Linked DNA regions of Tamandua tetradactyla. The protein of the gene in region 1 interacts with the protein of each later gene in a biochemical or structural test. Links are inferred from orthologs where the notes say so. Each region holds a gene or a part of one and is shown in the gene's direction. Other genes may lie near its edges.

Region 1 (8,428 bases):
CTTTATTTAAATTTAGTGTCTAGAAAACTAGAAGATGAGGAGTCAGTGACCCATAAGATTTGAATCCACTTTTCTCAGGCTTTTCCTTCAAATTAGGTATAGTTTCAAGGGTTTAGTATAGCTAAAAATATGAGAAAGACAGTGTCAGAAGGAGGGCCCATCTGGCTGGACCTGCCCCTTCTTTATGAGATTTTTTTTTTAACTTTTAATGAGATATGTTTTTGAGATTTTTCTTCCAAGGCTGGTGGGAAAGGACTGAAAATGTACTTAATGGAGAGGTTCATCTACTGACTTTTTAAAAAAATAACTTTTATTGTATAGTATAACATATCTACAAATTAAAGAAATAAAAAAGCAATAGTTTTCAAAGCACTATTTAACAAGTGGTTACAGGACAGATCCCAGAGTTTGTCATTTCAGATTTTTCCTTCTAGTTGCTCCAGAACACTGGAGGTTAGAAGGAGTATATCTATATTCTTTATCATCACTTTTTCTTTTTTGGGAAAAAATAACATATATACAAAAAAGCTATAAGTTTCAAAGCACACTGCAACAATTAGTTGTAGAACAGATTTCAGAGTTTGAAATGCATTACAATTCTACAATTTTAGGTTTTTACTTCTAGCTGCTTTAAAATACTGGAGACTAAAACAGATATCAGTTTAATGATTCAGCATTCATATTCATTTGTTAAATCCTATATTCTCTATATAACTCCACCATCACTTTTGATCTTTCCATCCTTCTCTTTAGGGTTGTTTGGGCTATGGCAATTTTAAATTTTTTATATTGGAAGGGTCTGTCACTAATATGGGGTAGGGAGATGGAACTATCTGATGTTCTGGAGAGGCTGGGTTAGTTTTCAGGACTTATCTGGACCAGGGACCCATTTGCAGGTTGTACGTTTCTGGAAAGTTACTCTAGTGCCTGGAACCCTTGTGGAATCTTATATATTGCCCTAGGTGTTCTTTAGGATTGGCTGGAATGGTCCTGGTTGGGGGTTGTCAGGTTATGACAGGTAGCAAGGTCTACCTGAAGCTTGCAAAAGAGCAACCTCCAGAGTAGTCTCTCAAATCTATTTGGACTCTGTCTGCCACTGGTACTTTATTAATTACACTTCTTTTTTCCCTTTTGATCAGGATGGAATTGTTGATCCCACAGTGCCAGGTCTGGATTCATCCCTGGGAGTCCTCTACCACGTTGCCAGGGAGACTTTCACACCTGGATGTCATGCCCCACTTAGAGGGGAGGGCAATGATTTCACTTGCAGAGTTGGGCTTAGAGAGACTGAGGCCACATCTGAGCAACAACAGAGGTCCTCCAGAAGTAACTCTCAGGTATGCCTATAGGTAGTCTAAGCTTCTCCGCTCCCTACATAAGCTTCACAAGAGTAAGCCTCATGACCGAGGGCATGGCCTATTGATTTGGATATCCCTGAAGTTTGACACAGTATCAGGGGATTCCCTGATGGTAAGGTTTAATGGTCTTTCTCTCCTCCCTCAGGGAACTTTGCCAATACTTTTTGGTTATCTGCTTAATATACTCTAGGATGTTTCCAGGCATTACAATAATCTATACAGGATTAAAAGACCTCTTTCTTATTCTGTGCTCCCTGTGTTTCAATGGTTCAAATGAGCTATACAGATACGTTGAATTAGATTATGCACTACAGAACATTTGTTCCAGATCAAATAAACCTTTCTTCCATTGCTCCAAAGAGTACGTGTGGTTCTAAAATATAGATGTTCTTAGTCTACCAATGCTGCCAGAATGCAACACACCCGAGATGGATGGGCTTTTGATAAAAGGGGATTTATTTAGTTGAAAACCGTATAGTTCTTCAGAGCAAAGGCAGCTAACTTTCCACTGAGGTTATTTCTTACGTGGGAAGGCACAGGGCGATCTCTGCTGGCCTTCTTTCCAACAACTTTTCCAGGGTGATTCCTTTCTGCATCTCCAAAGGCCTGGGCTGAGCTGCGAGTGCTGAGATGAGGTATGCTGAGCTGCTTGACTGTGCTATGTTGCATTCATTGCAGCAGGCACGCCTCCTAGCCAACTGCAGATGTAATCAGCAACAAATGAGGTTCACATGTCATCGGCTCATGTCCACAGCAATATAACTAGGCACCTTCACCTGGCCAAGTTGACAACTGCCTCTAACTACCACATGTCCACCCCTTGTCAACTTGGCAACTATATGCATCACCTTAAAGAATATTAAGGTGCAAGAAATTCTCTTCTAGTTGTGGACCTATGAATCTCAAAAACAAATGATCTGGAGCCAACATGCAAAGGAGGACATTCACAGGATACAGGTTTTCATTTCCATAGGGAGAAATTGGAAGGAACACAGGGGTCACTAGACCCAAACCGTTCTGAAAACCTCCAGGGCAAAGAGGAGGTATGCTGAGCTGCTTGGGCTGTGCTACGTTGAGTCTCTCATTTAAGCACCAGCCAATTAAATCAAATGTCATTCATTGCAGCAGGCTCGCCTCCTAGGTGACTGCAGGTGTAATCAGGAACAGACGAGGTTCATGTACCATTCACTCATGTCCACAGCATAGCACTAGGCACCTTCACCTGGCCAAGTTGACACCTGAACCTAACTACCACAACAGACACTGTCTTCCTTAACCCATGTTCTGAATTACTTTAACCCAAACCTGTTCGGCTTCATTCTTATCTCTAAATATCAGGTTATATATATAAAACAGCCTCTCAAAATCCAGAAATAATCACCATTCCGGACTTAATGTGTCTGCTCTAAAAGCTTACAATCTAGGCCCCTGTTTTCTTAGCATTTTCTGTAGGAGGCCATAACGTTGTTGTTTTTTTGTTTCTGGCTTATTTTGTCTCACCAAATGTCCCACATGTCCACTCACATCATAGCATGCCTCACGACTTTGTTCCTTTTTATAGCAGCACAGCCTTCATTCTTAAGTATACACCATCGTTAATCTACTTCTCTGTCAGTGCATCCTTCAGCCACCTGCATTCATCAGGCATCATGTAGAGAGCCCAAAGTCCACAGTCCATCAACATTCTCAATTTTAGATAATTTCATTGTTCCCAAGAGAAAGAAAATCAATAAAGACACCCTCACCAAATAGGAAATCTAAACCTTCTCTTAACTGTTGCCCCTTCCCCATTATTTACCTCTGCCGTTGCTGTGGTAGTGCTGATGGTTTTCTTTTGAACATTATTGGAATAATTGTGAGCACTTGTTTTAACGTAGGAAAATCTTTTATTCACTCAGCAACTTAAGAAGCACTCAGGACATATAAGACTCGGGGCTAAGTATTGCAAGGACATAAAATCAGACATGGATGCTACCATTCAGAATAACAGTGGCAGACACTTATTTAGTGTCATTATAATCCCTTCTATTGAACTAATCCTCAAGCATTACATTAGACCAAGCACTGAGTTAGACCCTGGAAAGACAACTGTAAAGATGCCACTGCCCTTGCTCTCAGGAGCTTACGTCTAATTCAGCCAGACAAGTAAATGAGAAATTCCAGTACCATGTGCTAAGGCCAGTAATAAGCGCAGGAGTTGGGACACTGTGCAGGCTGGGGCCAGACAGAAGCTGACATATGTAGCGAGCAATGACACAGGACAACCTGGAATTGTGTGTGTGTGTGCGTGTGTGTGTGTGATCCAGGATGAGGGAAGAGCTTTGTGCAAAACCCTGGAAATGAAAGCCCAGGATTGCAATGGACATTCTGGTTTATAGAGCAGTGCAAACTGATGCCACTAAATTGCTGAGTCAAGTTCCTCCATCCCTTATTCCCAAGTTCAAGAAGGGCTCCCGGCACGGACATCACCCGGAGTGTGGCTGAAACAGAGTGCTCTCTACCAGATAACCCCAGAGCCCCATCCTAGCCCACCCTGAACACTCTCTTGGGGGTCTTTACATACTTATCTTACCATTCATTCAGTCAGGCAATCAGCAAGTCCTGTGCCAGACTCCAGAAGCCAAGAGGGCCACGTGGCTTCTCAGAAGAGGTCTGGGGCAGTGGGCCACATCTCTGAATCCCACACAAAACCCAAAACTGTGCTTTGCACACAATGGTGCTTTCAGTCTACTAAATATAAAACTAAAAGCAAATAAGTTCATCTGACGGCCCCACGACTCTCTCAGCCCACGTCCTCCCCATCACCTGCCCCAGCCCCTCCGCTACTGCATTATCAGGCCCCCCCGCCCCTGCCTGGACCCGCCCCTGGCAAATGCAAGCAGCCAGCAGCCCAGCACCGGCGGAAGCTTAGGAGCAGGACTCGGAGCTCAAAAGAAGCTCGGGAGTGAGAACCACGCGGTGGCTTCCCGTTTCAGCTTTATGATCTCCAGCAAGGCACTCGCCGTGCAGCAGCCTGTTTCCTCATCTGTAAAAGGAGCTAATGACAGTTCCTTCCCGGGATCTGCCGAGCGCGAGCGGGAAACCGGACCGTCGCGGGAAGACCAGACCGCGCGGCCGGCACACAGACGCCACTGGGCGGCGAGGAGGACGGCGGCCCGGCAGTCCTGAAGTCCGGACTAGGGCCTGCAACCGCAGCAGCCAACGGCCTGCCGCAAGCGGCGAGAGAGCGCGGCGCTGCCCCTGGCGACGCGGGCCCCGCCCCGGCCTCCGCAGGGACAGCCGCCTGCGTCACCCGCGCGGCCCGCGGCCCCTCCCGGGCCGGCCCACACATGGCGGGAACGTGAGGGGGCGGGGCCGGCTCGGCGCCGCGGGGGCCAATCGGGAGGTGCCCAGCCAATGGCAGAGCGGCTCCGGGGCCCGAGGGGCGGGCCGCCGAGAGGCGCGGCGGCGTCATGGGTCCATGGGCGGGCTGGGGGCGGGGCCCGAGGGGCCGCTCGGGGCGGAGCGGCGGGGCCGGCGCAGACGCGGCGGTGATGGCGGCGGCTGGGGCGATGGCGGGCGCGGCGGCCCCGGCACCGGCGCTGGGCGCGGATGGCGCCTCCTCGGTTCACTGGTTCCGCAAGGGGCTGCGACTCCACGACAACCCGGCGCTGTTGGCGGCGGTGCGCGGGGCGCGCTGCGTGCGCTGCGTGTACATCCTCGATCCTTGGTTCGCGGCCTCCTCGTCAGTCGGGATCAACCGGTGGAGGTGAGGGGGGGCCCGGGGCGGGGGCGCGGGCCGGGGCGCGCGGCCGGGGCTCCGGGGGCGCCCTCGGACCAGGAGGCTTTGCCCCGACCGCGGCGGGAAGACCCCGGCCTGAGGGAGGTGGGCAGGGAGACGGAGCGGGTCTCCAAGGGCGAGAAGCCGGGCCGGGGTCGCCTTAGGGCGCTCGTTCGCGCGCCGGTGGGCGAGGGCGTAGCCTCTGACCCAGCGCTGTCGCGGGTGCGGTGGCCCCTGTGCGCCGCACTGTGTCCCGCGGGACACCTGTGTTCCTCCAGCCCAGCTGACACCCCTGCGCCCTAGGAAAGCGAGGCTGACCTGCCAAGGACGTGCAGCGAGGGGAAGGCACAGCGGGGCCTCCTGCCCCCGGGCTCTTCCGGGTGTGCCGGGGAGGGCAGGAAAGAAGATCTGCGCGGTGTGACGGCAGGGCGGATTTCTCTAGTAGGATCTGAGGCTCCTGAAGGTCATCCCTAAACCCCGGGTTCTCCGAGTCCCATCCTGCCTTCCCCTCCACATCGACATCTGGGGTTGTCTAGAGATGCTGGTCCTGCACGATCATGACAACCCAGAGGTGTCCTTTGTACCTGCGTCCTGGAGCAGTACTTCTCTCATTTTGGAGAATTCCCTAGCAGCCGCGAGCTTGCTCTAAAATAAGAACCAAACAAGGCATCACCCCCTTCTTCCTCTTCTCATGCGTTGGTTTTAAAGGACACTCGAGCCATTACAGGTTAGACTAATATGCGCTGCCGTGCTAAGTTTTGGGAACAGGAGGGCCCCTCCTGAGAGGACTCCCAGGAGATGCATTGACAGGGTCATGAGGAAAGGATTAACAGATAGGGAGCTGGTGTTTTATCTCTGTACTAGTATCCAAAACCGAGGAGTTTTGAGACATCACGTACCCAGCTCTCTTTAACACACCGCGGAGCAGTTTCTTGGTTTGTTCGCATCGTTGGGGCCGGGTGGGGGGGTGGGGGGGTGGGGGGTGGTTCTGCTTGTGGCCTTTCTGCGTCCCTAAGCTGCTTTAGTCCCAGGAAACATTAGCTCTTAACACGCTGTTCTTTCAGCACCAAGGTTTTGCTCTGCTGGGAGAATGAGTGCCTCTAGTAATGGGTCTAATAAATGCCCCCTCCTGCCACATTTTTATGGAGGGAATGACTAAAGATAATCCCGTGGAGAAGCTGCCCACACAGTTTTCAGTCTGCTCTATTGATCTCTCTGCTCCAGTTTCTATAGATAGGAGGTTGGGTTTGACAAACATATTCAAATGACCATCCGTAGAGATGTCATTGAACCAGGCCTCAGACTTTGCCCCCTCCTGTGGCAGTGTGCCAGTCAGAGCAGAGTAAATAGAATCTCCCTCCCTGCTTGTTACATTGTCACCAAGGAGTTTCTTCTTTTATTGGGTTTTGCCAGATATTTCATAGAACTACCAACTTCTTTGTGGTAGTTGGGGAGATTAAAAACAAAACCCTGTTGCTGATTAAACTTAGATTTGCTGGAAACTAGGTGTTTATGGATTTTTGTGGGTCACCCCTTTGTGATTGTGCTTTTAAGCAAGTGAGGGAAAAAAGGAAAGTGGCAGTTCAGATGCCTGAGTAAAATTGTGGAGTCAGAGGTCCTATAGGAATGTAGATGTTAATTGAGCAATTACTTAATGAATGCCTAATATCTGCTAGACACAGTCCTAGGTACTACTAGGGATGTAGCAGTGAACAAGCAGACATGGGGCTCTGAGAAACTACATTTTAGTGGAGGGAATACAAGTAAGCAACCATAATTCAGTAGAACTAAGTGCCATGAAAAAAAAAATAATAAATAGTGGGTGGGCTAGAGCAGTAGTTCTCAATCTTGGCTTCATAGTGAAATCACCTAAAGATCTTTAAAAGATGCCTGGCCCTCACTCCTACCCCATCCCCTCCCCCGATTCTAATTTTTTGGGAAAAGGCCTGGGCAGCAGGCCATTTTTAAAACTCTCATATGCAACTGAGCTTGAGAACCACTGAACTAGAGAGCCACAAACCTGAGCCCGACCCCCTGGCAGATGCGTTGCAGTGCACTGGCAGGCCGTCTTAACTAGCTTGGCGTTCAGATGAGAGAGGTGAAATAGCACAAAACAGGTAGAACGTGAGGCCCTGGAAACAGGCGTACTCCTGCCACCCCCGCCGCACTGTGCTCCCGGGGTCTGGGGAGAGGCAGTGGTGCACGCTGTTATGCACACACGGCTGGAGGCAGGGAGGGTGTCGAAGCCTCACATACATCCGCAGAGCTACAGTCTGTCATCTTCCAGCGGCTGGTTTTGAATTTGGGAGAATTGTGCTGCTTCATGACAGTCCCAGCTCTGTAACTGCTGAGCTGCTGTATTTGAGAAGCGTCCCTAGGAAGGGTGGGCCCAGGCCGTCTGCAAGGGGTGGATGTGATCTCCGTAACCCTTCTGTACTGCCTGTACTGACCTCTGCCCAGTTTTTTTCCTGCAGATAAAATCAAATTAAAATAACCATGAATGACACTCTCTGAGAGTAAATGAAGATAGAGAAAAACAACCAGAAATATGTATATTATTGATTGGGGTGGCAGACGAGCATACTCCTTGACTTGGGGGTAGTAGGGACTTTGTGGTTAATTGTAGCTATATGAACCTCAGGAGGTTTTTTTGTTAAAGTGGCTGGCTTTGCCATATTCCCCAGCCTTACCTTCTCCACATATGCTGCATCTGGAAGGAAGTGCTACAATCAAAACAAAAAAAATAGGAAAATGTGACAGTGTCTAGATTTTAAAATAGATACTTGAAATAGGCCCTTGCAGTTTTCATTACTTTTCTCTCCCTACTGCAACTTAGGTAGGTGTTGGCAGCAATGTTCCTCACATTTTATTTAAAACGTCTTGTCCCTAGCTCTGTGCTGCATCTGCATTCAGGAGCTAGTAGGACAAAGGGAGTTGGTAGAAATGTGTACAAACTTAATGGGTTCTCTCTCAGTCAGTATAACTCAGAATTAGTAAATGAGGTGAAATGGGAACTCTCCAGGGCGCCTGGTGGAGCCAATGATTTATCCTTCCACATGCTTGGAGCTAAACAGTGTTGATTGTTCTGAGTCGTTCTTTTCTTTTAGAACCTGGTCAGCGAGAAGAGGGTCGAGAGCTATGGGCTGCTGGCGGGGAAATTCGAGTTTCTCTGAGCTGTTCCCACTTGTTATTTCACTGTTTTGCTGCTGGGGAAACCGTTTCAGTTTGCCCCAAAGGGAGAAAACCTTCATCTTTGAAATTAAGAAAGAATAAATATATTTTTATCTGAATGATACTTAATCCTGCCATG
Region 2 (8,869 bases), on another chromosome or scaffold:
CAAACACAGATTTTACAATGATTATCTGGATACTTTATTTAAATATGCCTATAGTTAAGCTAAAAAAAAGTTAAAAAAAAGTAAATATATAAATAATCTCAAAATTAAAATATCTAGAGTGCTTGCAGAGATAAAGAAGGCATAAAATTCATTTAAAATGATTATTTAAAACTAGATGGATATGAGACAAAACAAATTATAAATGTTGGGAATGAGAAATTTAATAAGTTGCTATAAATTCTAGACTGGAAACAGTCAAAGGAAAAATCAGTGAACTGGAAGTGTAATATAACAAAGAGGAAGAAAGAAACAAAAATATGAAAGGGTGAAGAGATATATAAGAGGTAAAGAGATGAATTGAGAAGAGCAAACATAAAGTCCTTAAGACCAAAATAGAAGGACTGGTGGGACAGGAATCTTTTTAGAGATAAAGGCTTGGGTTTTAATGCCCTATAAGGACAAGAGATGAGTTTGCAAGAGAAGTTGTAACTGAAATCCCTGCATAAAGCAGGAATTTTGAAGATCTTCATCCTCCTTAAGAAATGTTTAACTTAGGACACAAAGAGATGAACAACAAACTAATATGTCTTTGAATGGGATCTGGTTTTAAAAAGAAGGTCTTTTTAAACGTTTTTACTGTGAAATTTAACATTTATACATAAAAGTGATAAATTTCAAAGTACATTTTAATGAGCAGCTTTAGAACAAATTTCAGTGTATGGTATGGGGTACAGTTCCACCATTTCAGGTGTTTACTTCTAGCTGCCCTAAGACACTGGAGACTAAAAAGGAATATCAATATAATGATTAAGTAATCATATTCATTTGTTAAATCCTATCTTCTCTGATACAACTCCTCCTTCTCCTATGATCCTACTCCCACTGTTTTTTTTTTTTTTCCACTTTCAAACCCATTTTTTATTTTCTTTTTTCCTCCTCAACATACAGAACCTCAGGGGTGTCTACATAACCACATTTATTGCAGCTATAAAGTCACTTGATACTGGTCAGGTACCATTTATTCTTTTATCATTTTATCCCTAAAAGTTGTTGGCATCAAAATACGACAGTTAACCAGTGTTAAATCCATAAAATATTTACAGAGTATAGCGCATTAAGTTTTAGACACCTGGCAATTAAACCACATAAAACCAGGACAAGACCCCCATTACACATGTTCTGAGTCAGGCATTTAGCAGCCCCTAATACAGCATCTTTACACTAGTCAAAGGGCGGCAGAGGCAGTAGCTTTGGAGCACACTGAATATTATGATCTGGAAGCACATTATGATGTTACCCCAGTGTTATGTACCAACCCACTTTCTCCAAGGTAGTCTCATAATTCTAAAATGGCAGGTCCAGCTGATACAAAATGAAGACAAGACAACACAAAATTTATTCTGTGAAAATATCCTACTATACTATGCCTTCACTGTAATTTTGAACACAACTTGTCTCAAAAACTTGTCGTGATCATCCTGGCATTTTAGATTGGGTGGCCCATCAATCTGGCACTCAACTATCATCTCTTTCTTGGTACTGTTGGAGCCAAATCCTGGCTGGACAGAAACTACTGGCTAAATATTCCACGTGCATTTTTTTTCCCACAATATGGAAAATATTTTAAGTCTACAATTGCACTGTGAGGATAATTTAATAAAACTGCCATGTTTCCGTCCTTGGGAATGCATATTATCCTTGGTTCTCCTTCAGGTTTTAATCCAATTATTCTGTTCATTTTCACAAGAATATAAGGTTTTCCTTTGGAATAGCCAAAGTCAGGATCTCTCATACCACTGAATGCTTCAAGTAAGTGATCAACAAACTGACATGCATGATAATCTGGGCCTTTCTATTCAAAAAGTACTCCATCAGGGAAGACCATGACATTTTTCTGTCCTTGTAAATCATATGGCCTTAGAAGATTAGTAATGTCTTCAATGTATGCTTTATAGGAATCTGAATCAGACAAACCGATTGTATATTCCAATGCCGTAAATGGTTTTGGGAAAACCATAAGTCCTGGACTAGGAAGCTGGTCACAGTATTTTGGAACCTTATCATTCAGAGTCTGAAGCATAACCCACATTGTGAATGTGAAGAGTGCAGCCAGGAGCCCATAGAAGACTAGGTAGAAAAGCAAGATCAAACTGCAGCTCTTGGCGGTGCGCCCCAGGCACTCTCTAGTGGTTAGGTTGTAGACAAAGAGCTTCTACACTGCCAAGCTCTCATGGAAGAACTTCCCTTCTCCCACTCTTTAGGGATATTTGGGCAATGGTCATTCTTCTTCATGTTTAAAAGGGGTGCCGACATTATGGGGTAGGAGTATGCAGATGGTTGATGGTCTTGGAGAAACTGGTAACTAGGTTTCTGGGCTTTTCTGGCCTAGGAACCATCTGAAAGTTATAGGTTTCTGAAAAATAGTGAGTGAAACTTTCATAGAATCTCAGAGCACTGGGTACTCTTGAGGATTTACAGGGCTATGACAATTATTATTATCTAGCTGCAGTTTGCATAAGAGTAACCTCCAGAATAGCTTCTCAACTCTATTTGAAATCTCTTAGCCACTGATATCTTACTTATTTTACATTTCTTCTCCCCGTTTTAGCCAGGTAGGCATTGTCAATCCCACAGTACCAGGGCCAGGCTTATCCCTGGAAGTCCTGCCCATATTGCCAGGGAGACTTATATCACTGGAAGAAAGCCTTTTTGAGAATTCATAACCACGGGCCTACCCTCACACAGGTTGGAATTTGAATTTATACTCTCTTTATAACTTAAGTAACCCAAAATTAAGAAATTATTATAAAAATTGTTCCTGGCTAGTAATAGCCTGAAGCTACCGGCAAAAGCAAACTAAAAAACCTCTCTGGAATGACGTGCACTCAACCAGGTTGCACAAGATTTCTAGAATTAAAGCATCACAAAGGATGAATTCACAATTCAAAATCATAGAATACATTAAGGACAACCCATCATGAGCAAACACTGACACGTATCTAGATTAGACCCCTGATTACTTAATATGACTAAAAAGATTACAGAAAAATAAGAGAAGAATTTAAAACATGAGAAAAGAACATCAAGAAAGATCATGCAGATGTTTTACAGAACCAAATGAAACTTTTAGAAATAAAAAACACAGGCAATGACTGGGTTAAGCAGATACTGAATAGAACTGAAAAGAGAATTAGTGAATTGTAAGACAGTTCTGAGAAAACTACAAAGAATTAAATATAGAAAAATAAAGAAATAACTGTGAAATTAAGAGATACGGCAGCAAACCTCCCACGTAGAAAAATCCCATATAGTTTAAGGAGCATAATTCCCCACCCCGCCAGTATGGGTTAGACATAGTGAGTTCCTTACAAACAGAGCATAGAAGGGGAAGAAAAGAGTATCTACTGTGGAGAAAGTTGACCTCAACACCTGATCAATGCTAACACCTACAGGGTTAAGTCATGATGATAGCATGCGCCTGATGTGATGGGATGAGAATGGTATTTCACCCCTGTGGACTCCTTCCCAAACACCCATAACCCTGGTCTTATGAAAAAAAACATCAGAAAAACCCTAATTGAAGAACATTTTACAAAATACCAGATCAGCTTTCCTCAAAACTGTCAAACTCCTCAAAAACAGGTAAGTCTGAGATGGTGTATAAGGAACTACGGCCACATAACCTAGTCTTTCCTGGTCAGCGGGTGCCTAGGTGGAGTGGTCCTGGGAGCGTTCTGTTCCCAGAGGAAGGGGTACATTTTCTGTACAGAATTGAAAAACAATAACAAAACTGACTATAAGTTGTCCTGCTTTTATTATCATAATGCACCTGCAATTCTAAACAAGTTCAATAATAAAATATTGCTCCCTCCTGGATGGAACTACTCCACAGTCACCCTTTCCAACCCCTGTGCCAATGATGTTGACTGATACAATGGACAACTGTAATTACTGAATGATTTATAAATAAGCAGAGGTTTTCTTTCTGAAAAAAAGTGAAATAAAAAATTTAAATAACTCTAACAGGAAAAAGAGGGGAGGTTTAAATGCAAAGTGTGCTAAGGTCCTCCTCTACTTCAGGAGGAAAATGGGGAAGTGAAAAGCGGCCACTTTTGGAGGGTGAGAGTTTTAATGTGATATACTGGCTATGTTTTTTGATTGGTTGAAGTGTTTTGCTGTTAACCTAGTTTCAAATAAATGGACCTGAATTTGACCTATTTGCCTTTCTTCTTCTAATAATTAGCAATGCCTTTCCTAGAACGTCCTATTGTTACCCAGTCACTAAGGGACCTAAAAAAATATTGAAGTTCAGGTACAGCTGCATTAATAAGCTGCTAGAGACTGTTCCATTTTAGAAAGCTATTTACTAATCTCAGGAACCTATTTACCTCATAAAAACAAAGATGGTTTTTAAAATAGAAATAATAACAAATAATTCCTATTAAAAAATCATTTTAGGAAGATTTAGAAAATAATTACCTAAATAGAAATCATCTATAATCCCACCCTTAATACGGCAACCATCCGGTTATATTTCCTTGCAGTGTTTTAAACATTTAATGCATATATTACGTGTATATATTTTTAGAGCCTGTATTTTTAACCCCTTAGGTTATGGGGCACTAGGCGTAGCCATCCCGAAGGCCATCTCAGCGAGCTGTCAACAGCCACTGTTTATCCTTCCGCCCAGGGGAACCGGCTGCGGAGTTACAGCAGACTCGAAACTTCTCTTTTCTTCTTTTTGCACCACCTCCCTAAACTTTCCTATTTTAGCAATAATTTTAAAAGTAAGAGCCACGTCTGAGGAGATAAAGGTGGCAGCCTCTCTGGAACCAGGCGCTGGAAGCCCGCAGCCGCGCGGGGAAGGCACACCCGGCTCCGGCTGCGCACGCTACGGCTGGGCGCGGCTCCTCTACCGTCCTCCGCAGCGCGCACCCGCCCCACGCGGGGGGAGACGCGCCGGGAAAGCGCGCGGCCGTGAGCCGCAGGCGCCATTTTGGACTCCGTGTCTGGGCTGAGACGCTGGGCAGCTCCGTGGTGGCCGCAGCTCGCTGAGGGAGTCTGTCGCAGTGGCGGAAGGACCCGGAAGGGGGTCGCGTCGGCGTGGGACTGAAAAAGAAGACTTCTCCTGGGTAGCCACAGCCGCAAAGGTGGAGCCACGTTGGCGCCCGCCGGGGGACCAGCGCCTCGGATGCGGGCGGAGCGCGGGGGGCCGCGGCGGCGGGAGCGCGAAGCGGGGTTCCCGGGGGGCCTCATGTGAGAGCCGCGGGACCAGCCGCCGCCCTCCTCCCCGGACCCCGGGGTGGTGTATGGGGGAAGCCGCCCCCGGCAGCAGGTAACGGCGGAGGGGCAGGGCCGGAGCCCCGCTGCGACGACGGGGCCGGGGGAGGGTCTGCAGTCCTCTTCTTGATGGGCGGGGTTCGCGGGGTCCCCGGCGTGCGGGGGAGCGCCCCTTGGACGCTGCGGGCGGGGCGCCGGGCGCGGCTCCCAGACCTTGGAGCCTGTTTGGGGGCGTTTCCCCGCGGTGCCTGCTTCCAAACGTCAACAAGGCGTGGTGCCTGTGCGGCGGTCGCGTGCGGCCCTCCCCGTGACGCCGCGGAGCTCGCCGCAGCTCCTGCCGCGCTTGGCGGGCTTTGGTGACAGGTACTGTGGGGTTCGCGCCCCGCCAGTTCCTTTTCGGCGTCGGCTACACCAATGCTCGTAGCTTGAGAAATTACAGGGATTAGGATGTCAAAACGAACTGAAGGGTAGAGGCAGGAGTTATATCAGGGAAAGCCAATCCGTGGAGGTGGCGGAGGGAGGCAGAGACGCTCCCGCCGCGTAGCCAAGTGGAAAACTTGGTCAGCTTGTGCTGAGCAGCATTGTGCTTCCTTTTCGCGTGAACAGCCTTTTTAGGTGGAACTGCAGATAGTGCTCAGAAAGCAGCCCATCAAATGACTGGCTTGCATCTCCGAGTTAAGAATTGAAAGAGATTTAATTAATTTGTTGATGTCCGCCGAGTGGCCTGTCTTTTAATTAGAATCTTCTTTTTAACTTGAAAAAAGTTAGCTTCTACTATTCGTGAAATGTTTATAAAAATGCCATCAACTTCCCAGTGATCTACATATGATTACTGGATGTGTTCACCACGTTCTCCCTACCATCCAGTTCTGAGAGTTAATGCTGTTTCCACTTTTCTATTGTATTCCAGTCAAGGAATATATATTAATTTTGATATTAGTCAAGGCAAAACAAAAATGGAAAGGAGATTTGATGCAAAAACAGGCATTTAGCTTTCAAGAGCTAACTGCTGATGGGCTTTAAAAATTATTACATATCCAGCATATGTGAAAGTGCTGATGCAATGAGGGGCATACAGCAGCGTGTTCTCTGGTGAGCTGAAATCTATTTGATGAGTAATTTGACTGTTCCTGTCAGTTTATGGAACTGTTAGTTACTTCAGTAGCTCTCTTTGCTGCTCAACTAGTTTGTAGTTTTTCCTCTTAGGTTTTTTGGGGGGAGAGGCAGTTCCCAATAATATCAGTCCGTTCACTCATCAGAAGCTCTAATAAGTTGAATTAATTATTTGGGGCCTCAAAAGTTGTAATGTGAAATTAAACTGCCTAAGCAGCTCTGCGGAGGCCTGATTTTGTTGCTCAAGAAAGTCTCATTGATGTGTATTGTCCATATCTGTCCTACCCTCTCCTGTTCAGATATAAAAGGTGTTTTCTCTTTGACTAAAAGTAGAAGATATATAAGTTTACTGACATAAATTATTTGCAGACTGGTGGATCTGAATCGTTTAATTTTCTATACAGCAGTTTCATGTGCAGATAGAGTAAATAAAATATTTTTGAAAGCAGTGTAAATTTTTGCACGAAAAATTGGCATTTTAAAATTGTATTAAATGCCCACTCCTTTTATTTTCATGCATAAATGAAGACAATAGATTATTGTTTTTTGTCTGCATTTAGCCTTATATTTGTAGATTTGCTTTTTAAATCTAGGTTAAGATCCTAATTATGATATAATGTAGTTCAATGACATATGGCAATTGATAGATTTTTGTTCAGCTACTCATAAACTAATCAATGTTTAAAATATACTTTGGTGAACATGGAAATACTATACCTTAGTGTTGAATACTTTGGGTTTTTTTTTCCCTCCTACTCCCAACTTGGAAAAGTATTGAAATATACTTGAAAACAGGGCTAAATAAACAAATGTATCTATTGTTAGGATCAGCAGTTTTACCAAAGATAATTGTGTGAATGACCAGTTTATTTTTTAAACAGCTTTCTTGAGATATATAGTTCACTGATGATACATTTCACCCATTTAAAGTGTACTTTATTGTTTTAAACATTTTTCATTATAATAAAACATACATGGCTTAAAATTTCCCCTTTTAACTACTTTCATGTACACAATTCAGTGATACTAATTACATTCACAGATGCTCACATGGTGTGCTATCATCACCACCACCCCAGTATCATTTTTGTTTATATGTCCATATATTCTAAAGTAAGGCTAATAATTGCAGCTTTTAATAGAGTATTTCTGGTTTTAGAAGACTTTTCTCCAAAAAAATGGGGTCAGCAATCTATAATGAGGAGTAGAAATTGTCAAGATTGCTGTATTCTGTTATGAATCTTTGTATTTTAAAATTCTGAGTAGTTTCAGGTAGTCAGAGGAAAAATTATAAGCTTTGAATAGCAAATGCTTAGTTCTTTGGCCCAAATTTTATATGCTAAAATTAAAGTATGACTTTAAAACAAGTTAAAGCAGAAAAATGGGTCATAATGACAGTGTAATCTCAACCTTTGGTAGGACATTACTACTAGGAGAGGTTTCTTCTTTTTTTTTTAATTTTAAAGATTATATTGTAGATTATACCTTTGTTTAAAATCACTTCAAAATGTGTTAAAAGTTAATAAGTTTCAGTTTTCCATAAAAGTACCCTGTTAACTATTATTTTTGTTATTCTATTTTCTCCCATCCTCTCTGTCTTCTCAGTAGGCTATATATCATTTATTTCACTTAACTCAGATGCTTGGAAGTAGGAGCAATGAGGCATAGGCAGTTTATTGTACATATGCTAAGACCTGGGCTCATTTTCATGGCATGGAGGTCAGGCTCCTCTTGCCATTCTGCCTCTATTCTCCAGCTCCTAATCCTCTTTCACAAGTTTTGCTAGCTACTGGAGAGAGCTGTTCGGTTTATGATTATTCTTATGCATGTCCTTCTTCCCACACAGGAACCAGAGAGAAATTTTCATACCTTCATGTGCCAGAAGAAGGGAGTTGGAACTATAGGCCATTCTTTTGAAAGGCCATGATCCCAAGTCTAGGTTCAAACGACCACTTACTTAGATTAGCTCTCTAGAAACAGAAGTATTGCAGGCTGTAAACTAAATGGGTACTAGTGAATGATCTGTAGTTACCCCATTTAATTCAGAGGCTGCAATACATACTTTCCAACAACAACAAAAAACAAGGCCTTTTTTAAAAATCTGATTACAAAACAACAGATGTTAAAAGAAATGTGTAAAATATAGAAAGGAAAAGCACACTGACAAAAAAGAATCACCAGTAATCCTATGGCCCACTCTTAGTTATTGTAATAATTTGGTGACTCTACTTCCAGTTTGTTTTTCTCTTATAACTACCCCCCCCCCACACATATACACACACTTTTTTTAAAACTTTTTATTGTATAGTACAACATATATACAAAGCAAAGAAATAAAAAGTAGCCATTTCAAAACACTCTTCAAAAAGTGGTTACAGGAGAGATCCTAGAGTTTGTCATGGGCTACCATATGATCCGCTCATATTTTTACTACTAGCTGCTCCAGAATATAGGAGGCTAGAGGACTTAAATACTT

Evidence for each region.
Region 2: the proteins of CRY2 (region 1) and FBXL3 form a complex in vitro, tested with the Homo sapiens proteins (2 studies listed by BioGRID, with this or other methods). The link is inferred for Tamandua tetradactyla from reciprocal best matches to the Homo sapiens genes CRY2 and FBXL3.

What each region holds. Positions count from the first base shown.
Region 1 is NC_135334.1:122,493,844-122,502,271, forward strand, and holds the start of CRY2 (cryptochrome-2), read left to right. Parts: upstream 1-4,882; 5' UTR 4,883-4,891; coding exon 4,892-5,106; intron 5,107-8,428. UniProt on the Homo sapiens protein: Transcriptional repressor which forms a core component of the circadian clock.
Region 2 is NC_135330.1:144,768,717-144,777,585, reverse strand, and holds the start of FBXL3 (F-box/LRR-repeat protein 3), read left to right. Parts: upstream 1-5,205; 5' UTR 5,206-5,309; coding exon 5,310-5,335; intron 5,336-5,623; exon of another isoform or gene 5,624-5,643; intron 5,644-8,869. UniProt on the Homo sapiens protein: Substrate-recognition component of the SCF(FBXL3) E3 ubiquitin ligase complex involved in circadian rhythm function. Plays a key role in the maintenance of both the speed and the robustness of the circadian clock oscillation.